Linked DNA regions of Coturnix japonica. The protein of the gene in region 2 purifies or fractionates together with the protein of the main gene of each other region. This does not show direct contact. Links are inferred from orthologs where the notes say so. Each region holds a gene or a part of one and is shown on either strand. Other genes may lie near its edges.

Region 1 (3,500 bases), on a different chromosome or scaffold from region 2:
CACCTCCCGTCCTGCAGCCAGGTGACATCCATCATTGCTGGTGTGGTGGGGGCTCTGCTGGTCGTCGTCCTTCTGCTCATCACCGTCGTCTGCGTCAAGCGCCGGCGGCAGCAGGAGAGGAAACACACCATGAGGCGGCTGCTGCAGGAGACTGAGGTGGGGGGGCTGGATGACCCTGGGGGGGGCTCAGAGTGTTGTCCCTCCTCACCCACTTGTCCCTCGCAGCTGGTGGAGCCGCTGACGCCCAGCGGGGCCCTCCCCAACCAAGCACAGATGCGCATCCTCAAGGAGACGGAGCTGAAGAAAGTGAAGGTTTTGGGCTCCGGCGCTTTCGGCACTGTCTATAAGGTGAGGGGTGGGAGGCACAGTCAGTGGGATGGCACCATCTGTGTCCTCACTCACCGCCCCCCCACCCCCCATAGGGCATCTGGATCCCCGATGGGGAGAGCGTGAAGATCCCGGTGGCCATCAAGGTGTTGCGGGAGAACACATCACCCAAAGCCAACAAGGAGATCCTGGATGTGAGTGCAGGGGAGGTGGGCACGGGGCTGGGGAGTCGGTGCCAACCTGACCTATCTGTGCTGCCTGCAGGAAGCCTATGTGATGGCCGGGGTGGGCAGCCCCTACGTGTCGAGGCTGCTGGGCATCTGCCTGACCTCCACGGTGCAGCTGGTGACGCAGCTGATGCCCTACGGCTGCTTGTTGGACTATGTGAGGGAGAACAAAGACCGCATCGGATCCCAGGACCTGCTCAACTGGTGTGTGCAGATCGCCAAGGTAAGAGAGGGGGCTGCTGAGGGGCTGTGGGGGGGATGTAGATGTGGGGCTTAACGCCTGCTGCCCAGGGGATGAGCTACCTGGAGGAGGTGAGGCTGGTGCACCGTGACCTGGCTGCTCGCAACGTCCTGGTCAAGAGCCCCAACCATGTCAAAATCACCGACTTCGGGCTGGCACGGCTGCTGGATATCGATGAGACCGAGTACCACGCAGATGGGGGCAAGGTGGGACATGGGGACGGGGCAACAGGGAGCGCGGTGTCCCCTGAGGGTCCCGCTCACTCCTCCCACCCACCCAGGTCCCCATCAAGTGGATGGCGTTGGAGTCCATCCTGCGCCGGCGCTTCACCCACCAGAGCGATGTCTGGAGCTACGGTGCGTCCCTATGGTGGCTGTGGGGGGCAGGGGGTCCCAAACCAGCACTTACCCCACATCCCCATGTCCTCAGGTGTCACCGTGTGGGAGCTGATGACCTTCGGGGCGAAACCTTACGATGGGATCCCGGCACGAGAGATCCCCGACCTGCTGGAGAAAGGCGAGCGGCTGCCGCAGCCGCCCATCTGTACCATCGATGTCTATATGATCATGGTGAAATGTGAGTGGGGGGGACATGGGGACGTGGGGGCCAGGACCCCAACGCCGCCCTCACGGTGCTCGGCTCTGCCCCAGGCTGGATGATCGACTCCGAGTGCCGGCCCAAGTTCCGTGAGCTGGTCACCGAGTTCTCCCGCATGGCCCGCGACCCCCAGCGCTTTGTGGTCATCCAGGTAATGGGGTCTCAGGGGGGTCTCGCCTTCAGCATTGCCCCAACGGGCACTGACAGCCCCCCCTGACCCCCAGAACGACATGATCGGGCTGCCCAGCAACATGGACAGCACCTTCTACCGGGCGCTGCTGGAGGAGGAGGACATGGACGACCTGGTGGATGCTGAGGAATACCTGGTCCCTCACCAGGGCTTCTTCAGTGCTGAGACCTCCACCGCGTACCGCAGCCGTATCTCCTCCACGCGGGTAAGGGCTGACCTGGGGCATCGTGCTGCTGCAGGGCGCACAGGGTGCAAGTTCTCTAATGCCACCCACAGACCCTATAGACCCCACAGCACCGTGCCCGACTCCGTGCCCTTTGCCTCCTCAGAGCACAGCAGAGACCCCAGCTGACACGACAGAGGGGGAGGAATCAGCCGCCTTCCCCTTCCCACCGCAGAACCTGGTGGAGGGGTCAGAGTGCCCCGTGTCGGAGGCTCTGGAGGTGGATGTTGGGGCCAAGGGAGCCCTGCCGAGCCCCCCAGCCACACGGTACAGTGAGGACCCCACCGCGCTGCCGGGGGATGAGAGTGAAGGTCTGGACCCTGAGGGCTTCACCACCCCAGCCCCACATACCACTATGCCAGGTAGGGCAATATAGGACCCTGGGGAGGGGGGCAAGGACCCTGTTTGGCTGCTGACATCCCTTTTCCCTGCAGAGTACGTGAATCAGGCTGGGGAGCTGCCGTCACCCCCCCGGCTCCCCTGTGCACCACCATCCCCACCAGACAAGCCCAAGGGCCACCAAGGCAAGAACGGGCTCATCAAGGACACCAAGCATCCCTTCCTGGGGCCCTTTGGCCACGCCGTGGAGAACCCCGAGTACCTGGCCCCCCCGGGGCTGCCGGTCCCCACAGCCTTCAGCCAGGCCTTCGACAACCCCTACTACTGGAACCAGGACCCCCCCAAAGCTGGGAGCCCTGAGGGTGGGCCCAGCTCCACGCCAGCAGCTGAGAACCCGGAGTACCTGGGTTTGGCTGAGCCTGAGGACGTGGCTGTGTAGGGCAGGGCCACATACGGACCCCCCCCTTTCACCGAGGCAGCTTGGGGAGGGACGGCACGAGGCCGGCGATGGATGTGGGGGCAGGACTGTCCCCAATCATGGGGGTGCCCTATACTGCAGGAGAGCATAGAGCACTGTGAGACGGCGCAGCAGCACAGGGGGGGGCACAGAGGACCCCCAAAAGGAGCCCCAAAGCCCCACTGAGATGGATGCTCCAACCCCACACGGTTCCTGGAGGAAGAAGAGCAGCATCAACAGGACCGGGAGCCCCATCACCCTGCTCCCCATCACCATACACCTATATACACCTGTATACACCCTGGATACACCTGGACCACGCTGCTGCTGTCCCAGAGCCCCCCACCACCCCTGTGCCCCCAGCCCCCTCCCCACCGGCGCCCAGCAGCGCTGGACACATTGACTTGCACTGAGCAGGTGGACACGGGGCTGCCTGGGCTCCTGCTGGGTTCCCGTTAAGCTGACAGTGTCACCTGGATGTATATTTCATCATTGTAGATGGTTTTTTTTCTACTCCACTTTGTCTGCGTGGTTTGCTCCCATCTCCTCCATCTGCTGCTCTCACTGCAGGGAAAGCCCTGATAGCCAAGAATGGGGCAGCTGCCCTAATCCTGCTTTCATTGCCTGGATCCCCCCCATGCTCTGCAGGGACACAGGGGAAGAGGAGCCACGTTTACCTCCATCCTTTATTCAGCGCTGGGCCCACAGACAGTACATCATAAATAGGGGATGGGCACCAATAGGGGATGGGCACCATTCTGCCACGCTGCCCTGGGCTCAGCTGCCCCAAGGGCAGAGTCATGATGTGGGGAGGGGGAGAGCCGGGAGCCTGGGAACGGGGCAGCAGGGGAAGCTCGTGGCTGTTCAATGAACCCTGGGGCTGTGGGGATGGAGCCAAG
Region 2 (3,500 bases):
AAGAAGAGGAAAAATTCTTATTCTGGATCTCCGCACCTAGAGAAATACGTATGTAACACCAGTTTAAACACAGCCTTCAATCAATCATCTTCATTTATAATGACAGATAGAAAAGCTTGCCTTAAAACCTTACAAGAATTAAACAAAACCCAATGCAGACTGTCAACAGACTTTGCACAGCTCAGTATTGAAATATGTGACTATGGTTGGGCAGAGGTTTGACAGTGGGCCTCATGTACTGACAGCGTACATTGCCTTATCCTTATTGGCTTTGGCTTGTGTGAGCACTCTTGGACTGCTCACAGAAGAGACATACACAGAGTCAGAAAGCATCCTATATGTACACTGAAATCACACCTCATCTTGGGACCTTTTGCCAAGGTGCACATTTTCCCTGAGGAGATCTGCCCGCAGATTCCAGGGCTCCAAGCCACTCGATGGAATGCTTGGGAAACTGCTGAAGGGCTGTAAACTTAGAACCACAATCATGATTTTCATTTTGTTTGGTGTTATAGTAAAGACCAGTGCTAGTTAATGTTACTATGCAGCCAGCTGAAAACTCATCCTCTGCACTGCTTCAGATGGAGAACACCAAATAACATACATTAGCAAAGTGAATTCCAGCGCAGGTGCTGTGGTCAGGGAGCAGATACCTCTGAACATCTCTTAGCAAACGTTCCCCATCCCAGCCAACACAGACCTTGCTGCTTGCAGTCACTTCTGGTTGGTTTTACTTGCATTTTTCTGAGGCAGCCCAATTAGAAGTTATTCTCCACTCCAATATGCTTTCTTAAAGATGGCACAGATCACTGGTAGTAAATCATTTTCTTCCTGGCAGTTCATATGAATACAATGCGCAGCATCATAGCTTAATACAAATACTTCACATAACAGACATAGAAGGACAAAACAGAAGAGCATGATGATGCAGCTGCAACTATTTTACTATATTACATTACTGGGTGGTGAGTTTCCTTAAAATTTCATTGATCTATTCTGTAAAATTTCAACTTCTTTTACCGATAAACTAAGTTTTTCTTTTGGCATTTTGGGCTAGAAGAAGTAAAAAGTGGATGAAACAGAAATCAGAAGTGAGCAATGTCATATATAACTAACTTTCAAAATACTGGCAAACTGGTGCAATACAACAATCATGGGAGAAACAAGATTTGGGCTCAGCATCTCCTAAGTAAAAATGGAGCAGGGGAAGAGAAAGACCTATTCATCAGGAATAAAAATACTGTCGTCATGTCTGATGGCTTCCAATTGCTTGATTTGTGCACGCACAATAGATCTAGGGTCATACTGCTTTATTAATTTTACTAGCTGACTTCTTAAAAAACATACACGAACTGTGATCTGTGAAGGAGGGGGTGGGGAAGAGCCATGGACACCTTGGAAACTCAAGGATATATGTACAGATTGTTAAGACAACAAAGAAGACAAGTTTATTATGCATCAGCTCACGTTTTCCTCACTTTGTTTCCCCTCCCAAAAAATCCTGCTGCGTGCCCACAGACATTTTAAAATAGAGATAAATAAACTTTATCCTTCTGGGTTTCACTTGTTACAGACCAAGTCATCAATCATTACAAAACGTTAATTTTTGCTTTTACTGGCAGACTTTGAATGCACCTTGCACTCTTCCTGGCTGGTAGGCATTGCTGGTGGATTCTGCTGGGTTAGGCATAGTATAGGAGGCACTTCTGTTTTAAGTCTTTTCAATTTTGGCTTTTAACATCTGTTACTCACTTACTGCTGTACCATGACAAGCTTAGTACCTTAAATGCCTATAACATGGAGCAACTGGGTGCTTCTGTATCTCCGCACAGTGAAGGCACTGCATCTGGGGAACAATGGCATGCCACATGTCCAGGATCCAGAAAGCGCCCTCTATGTGCAAATTGGGAACTGACTGCAACACTTGGGGCTTATTTCAGAAAGCAAATGTCAATTTTGTAACTCGGACATCATGCTAAAATAATTAAAAATGAAGAATATTTTAAGCTTAATCGTGTTCAAACGACATCAGTAGCACAGTGCATCTGTGAATTCCTGCCCAAGGTCCGTGTGATTTTGATTTCCCCAACACTGATCTATTTGGTGACTTCATACCGCTACACTCCACTCTTCATGTCAACATCCTGATGATTCTGTGTTTCATCAACGGTGAGGAATTCATCACATGCTCCTGTTTGGTCATTCGACTGTTCTTTGTGAACCAAGTGCACCATTTCTTGTGATTTGCTGGCGTCTCCATTTAATTCTCTTGTCTTCCTGTCCTCCACTGCACCTTTGCCATTATTAATGACTAGCTTTTTCTTCTGCCCACATCTAGATCAAAATAAAAAGAATATGAGTACCATAAGTGGAGAGTAGTGGAAATACAAAAACAAAATTCAAGTAAGTATTTAGGAAAAGGATCCTGGAAATGAAACTTGTCTGCAAAGTGCACAGTTTCTCCATGTTGTGTATTTTATTTATTTATTTTATTTAGGAGCTTTGTATATATCCCACTATACAGACAGAATAATTCCAAATCCAGACTCAGGATCAAGATCCAACAGCTGAGTGTTCACTGAACGCACACAGCATAGTTCTCTTAAGACGGACACCAACTTTTAAATTTGTACTGTAAAAGTGTTTTTGGCAAAGCAGGCTTTGCCTGAATGACTAATCTGGCAGTTAAGTATCACTTTTATTCATGCTTACTGACTGATAACTGAGAGCTTTTTTATCCAAGGGAGCTCAGTTTGCTGTATAAATGTTGAGTGCACACTTGGGAACAATTCCTGCTCTGCAGCCATGAAATGCAGAGAGAACACAGGCTTTCAAAAGAGCAACTCAGATTTTCTTTACTGAAATGATGGTCAGTGCACAAATTTGGGACTGCATGGAGATCCTAGCTCTTTTGGCAACAGGCATCGTACAGAGGCAGTCTTCTTTGCAACATGAAGAATAATGAAGACATAATCAAACAAGTAAACTGCCCTGCACTGAACAACCTTGTGCAATTGGTTTGGTTTTTGTTTTAAGATAACATCTGTTTTTATTAAGACAACAACAATTAAACGTAGAAAAAAATTAATAAAAAAAACCAATTCCACAACACCAAAAACACTATGATGAAGCAATCTGCAATTCACTGAGAAGGACCAATTGCTTTGTGTAGGTGCTTGAGATCGCTGCCATGCTGATGTTGTAACAAATTTGCAGTTCTCACTTTTAAGTAAATTAACGCTTAGAACATTCCCACCCCACCACCCAGCTAACCCTACCCGAGTCTGCAGCAGGTTAGTGCTTATCAGAACAAATGAATCTCTTGTTTATTTGATCTTGCTAAAGCAAGAGAAAACATTCCACCTGTTTCAAGCATACTAGATGACATCCCTACTTGAAAAATTATTCCCTAGGGATTGGTGTATGCTGCTAGGGTCTGATCCACGATTTCATACTCACACCCACACGCACTGTCTCTCCTTGGGTCTCACTCCCAGCTG
Region 3 (3,500 bases), on a different chromosome or scaffold from region 2:
AGCCCTGCCTGCAGGATGGGCCGGTGCGGGGAGCGCTCTGCAGGGATGGAGGGATGGGGACCTCAGCACGAGCAACCCACATCCACAGGGGTCTCATCCCAAAGGGGTCTCATCCCACAGCCCCACAGAGCCAGGTGACATCCCAGCACAGGGACATTGCTATCTATTCAAGGGCCAGAGGTCAAACAAACCTAATGAGGGCCCCAGCCGCTGCCACTGTGGTGAGTCAGCATTAACAAACCCCTTTGTTCACCTCGCTGACTGTTCCCTTCAGTTTGCTCAGTGTAATCAAATTAAATCACATTCTTAATGGTTCATTTACTGGCATTTAGAGCAACTCCACATGTGGAACTGCTCAGACCAGCCTTCCCAGCTGGGAATTATGGCTAATAAGGCGATTAGAAAAAGTTTCTGTCTGGTCTATGAAATTACTTCCATCACAATTAAAAAGCCCCAGAAGGGTTCGAGGTGAACCTCGTGGGCGCAGCACCCACTGCTGTGTGGGAGGCAGAGCAGCCCCAGCACCATCCTCACCCACAACATCCAGCTGGTAGGTGTGGTTGATGCTCCCATATTTGTTCTCCACGATGCACGTGTAGTTGCCCTTATCTGATGGCACCACCGAGTCCATGATGATGCTCCACGTGGCATAGCGGACCTGGGGCAAAAGGATGGGGGTGGTGGGTGAGATGTGTGCACATCAGAGCATCTCAGCCCATTGGCACAGCATAAATCTTTTCATGGTCAACTTTCCCCTCTCCTACAGAGGGACCATAATTGCTCCCACCTGTCCCAGGAGCACCACCCTGAGTGGCACAAAGGGAACAGCACCCACATCCATGTTCTGATGGCACGCTGGCAATGCCCAAAGCCTTGAGCTTCCATCCCATTCTCCACCAGGGCTCTGCACACAGATGGGGAGCACCAGCACCCTGCTGCCCTGGGGGGCACATTGAGCCCAAACACTCCAGGCTGCACCAAGGCTCTGTAAGCAGAGCAGCTCTTCTTCATCCTCCTTCTCCCACAGTGCAGTGCTGGATGTGGGAGTTGTGCGGTGCTCCCAGGGCTGCCCCGACCATCCTGGCTCAGCTCTGGGATTAGTGCAGCCAGGCTGGGCTCATCCCCCTCCCCTCCCCCAAAGGTTAAGGCTGCTGCAAACATGACCAAGAAGCAGGTCACTGCCGTGGGTCTATTTTGCAACAGGAATGTCAGGGGGCCCATCTGCCCTTCCAGAGGCACGCGGCTGCACCAATGGGCGGCTCGGGGCCTCTGAAACCCATTCATTTCCCCTCCTCCCACATTGACCCCCAGGCATTGACCACACGGATTGACCACTCTGTACCTTGTACCCCCCAATGCGGTGGTCAGGTTTGAACTCCTTGCCATTCTTCAGCCAGCGCAGTGTGGGGTTGGGCGTCCCACCTGAGGGGCACTTGAATTTCACTGTTTTGGCAGCAGGGACGGCATGCAGCTTCTTCTCCATCTTCTCGGGATAGGTCCAGTAAGGAGCTACAGCCTCTGCAGGGCACAAAGCAGCAGGATCAGCCACAGGGAGCACTGATGTTTGCTCATGGTTAACATAGGGCAGGACTGGGGTGAGGCGCACATATCCCTGGTACATCCCCACACCCCAACCAGGCTCCACCAGGGCTGCAGCAGGACTCTGCCTCTCCTCTCCTGTCTCTCAGCCCCTGGATGCCGCTCACATGCACACCTGGCTTCCCTTCACCCCCACCCATAGGCAAACCCAACCCACACGTACGGTTTGGCTTGGTGTTATCTGCCTCCTTCTCCTCCGAGGAGGAATCGTCTTCATCATCATCATCCTCTGCAGAAGGGAGCGCATCTACAAGAGAAGAGACCCCCAGCTCATAACATTGCACAGACCCCTCCTGTTCTCCTGTGCACCGTGCTGACACATGGCATGAGGCCCTGAGAGAACACTGCATGGCTGGAGCACAGAGCTCAGGGAGCAGTTTGCCCCCAAGGCTGACTTTGGGCACAGGAAAGCAGTGCCCACACTGTGCTGCCAGGCACATCGGGACACCCATCCATCCGGGGTCCTGCAAACAGAGGAAGCCCCGACCCTCAGTCAGCCCTCATTCCTCACCACTGTGCTTCAGATCCACCAAAGAAAACCTCAGCTCCAGCTCACCCGGTGCTCAGTTCCATGCAGACTCACATGTCCCCACACATGCATTGCCACCGTGGAAGAACACTCATGGACTCAATGGGTGCAGAGGGTGCTGGCCACCAACTGTGCAGCTCTGAGCAGAAAACCCAGCAATGCTGACCCCGCTGCAGTGCTTTGTGTTGATACATCCCCACGCTGAGCCATTAGGGCACAACCACCCCATATTGCACAAAGTTGGTGGCGCATCCCATGCGTGCAGGGCTGCACCCCACTGAGCTTGGCAGCCAGCATGCAAGGCGTGCACACAGGCACACTGCTCCTCGGTGCTGCCCCCCTGGCACCGCTACGAACCTGAGACGTTGACGGAGAAGTAGGTGGTCTCACTCCCTGAGGGGCTGTTGGTCATGCAGGCATAGAGCCCTGAGTCCTCGGGCACCGCATCCCGCACCTCTACCTCCTCTCCAGTGATGCGCGTGCGGTTGTTCTCAGGCAGCTGAACTCCATCACGCACCCAGTTGATGCTCTGCACGTCATCGCGCAGCCGGCAGCGCAGCTGGAGGAGGTCGCCAGGGTGAGCAGAGTGGGATTCCACCTCGATGTTGGCTTTGGGCAGAGCTGGAGGAGTTTGGGAGAGAGGAAGAAAAGGAGAAAAAAAAGAAAAGAAATAGAGACAACGGGACACCAGGCTGCTGAGGGCTGGGTTAATCAGGCAACATGCGCTGCGGGATATTGGCTGAGGGACAGGGGTGGACCCTGAGCACAGCCACACTGAAAGCAACCAAAGCAGCCCCAAGGCACAGCCGTGGAGCCCAAAGCTACGCAAGCGCCTTCAGTCTCCTGCCAAGCGCTGCAGAAGGGGGTTGAGATGGGGAGGAATTTGCAACCTGAGGCACACTGGGCAGAGCTGGCAGCAGGGCAGGATGAGGAGCACCAAACCCTGCACGGCTCGACCCCAGGGTCTCCCTGCCCAGCAGCAGACAGCCAGCAAAGCAGGCCGGGACCCCCTGGCTCAGCACCAGGCGGTTACAGGGCTATGCTGGGGCAGCAGGCAGAGAGCAGGGCTCAGTGACAGTGCTGGAAGCTCAGCCTGGGGGCTGCAGACAGGTGGGGGCTGTCGGGTGCTCCCTGCCCGTAGCCATCCTGCGACGTCCTTCCATCAGCACAATGATCCAATCCATCCCAGCACTGTTCTCTCCTGGTCATCGATGTTGTTTTCTCCTCACCCTGCGGTGCTGCATGAGGATCCTGCACTGGGTGCAACCATCTGGGTTCCCAGCAATCCCTCCCAGTGCTCACACTCAGCCTGGTGCACTGTCTGCCCTCCTTCCTGTGTCAGCTCTGCTCGCACACCTCTGCTGCTATCTCC

What was found. Proteins that work in one complex are often made in the same cells at the same time.
Region 1: the proteins of CD44 (region 2) and ERBB2 purify together in Homo sapiens (affinity purification with western blotting; 3 studies listed by BioGRID and IntAct, with this or other methods). This does not show direct contact. The link is inferred for Coturnix japonica from reciprocal best matches to the Homo sapiens genes CD44 and ERBB2.
Region 3: the proteins of CD44 (region 2) and FGFR1 purify together in Homo sapiens (affinity purification with mass spectrometry; 3 studies listed by BioGRID and IntAct, counting the BioPlex papers as one, with this or other methods). This does not show direct contact. The link is inferred for Coturnix japonica from reciprocal best matches to the Homo sapiens genes CD44 and FGFR1.

The regions. Positions count from the first base shown.
Region 1 is NC_029542.1:3,928,568-3,932,067, forward strand, and holds the end of ERBB2 (receptor tyrosine-protein kinase erbB-2), read left to right. Parts: intron 1-17; coding exon 18-156; intron 157-225; coding exon 226-348; intron 349-422; coding exon 423-521; intron 522-591; coding exon 592-777; intron 778-845; coding exon 846-1,001; intron 1,002-1,075; coding exon 1,076-1,151; intron 1,152-1,224; coding exon 1,225-1,371; intron 1,372-1,445; coding exon 1,446-1,543; intron 1,544-1,616; coding exon 1,617-1,787; intron 1,788-1,911; coding exon 1,912-2,167; intron 2,168-2,239; coding exon 2,240-2,583; 3' UTR 2,584-3,119; downstream 3,120-3,500. UniProt on the Homo sapiens protein: Protein tyrosine kinase that is part of several cell surface receptor complexes, but that apparently needs a coreceptor for ligand binding. Essential component of a neuregulin-receptor complex, although neuregulins do not interact with it alone.
Region 2 is NC_029520.1:5,850,668-5,854,167, forward strand, and holds part of CD44 (CD44 antigen), read right to left. Parts: intron 2,335-3,500; coding exon 2,118-2,334; 3' UTR 1-2,117. UniProt on the Homo sapiens protein: Cell-surface receptor that plays a role in cell-cell interactions, cell adhesion and migration, helping them to sense and respond to changes in the tissue microenvironment.
Region 3 is NC_029537.1:3,713,989-3,717,488, forward strand, and holds part of FGFR1 (fibroblast growth factor receptor 1), read right to left. Parts: intron 2,750-3,500; coding exon 2,486-2,749; intron 1,847-2,485; coding exon 1,763-1,846; intron 1,519-1,762; coding exon 1,343-1,518; intron 659-1,342; coding exon 535-658; intron 38-534; coding exon 1-37. UniProt on the Homo sapiens protein: Tyrosine-protein kinase that acts as a cell-surface receptor for fibroblast growth factors and plays an essential role in the regulation of embryonic development, cell proliferation, differentiation and migration.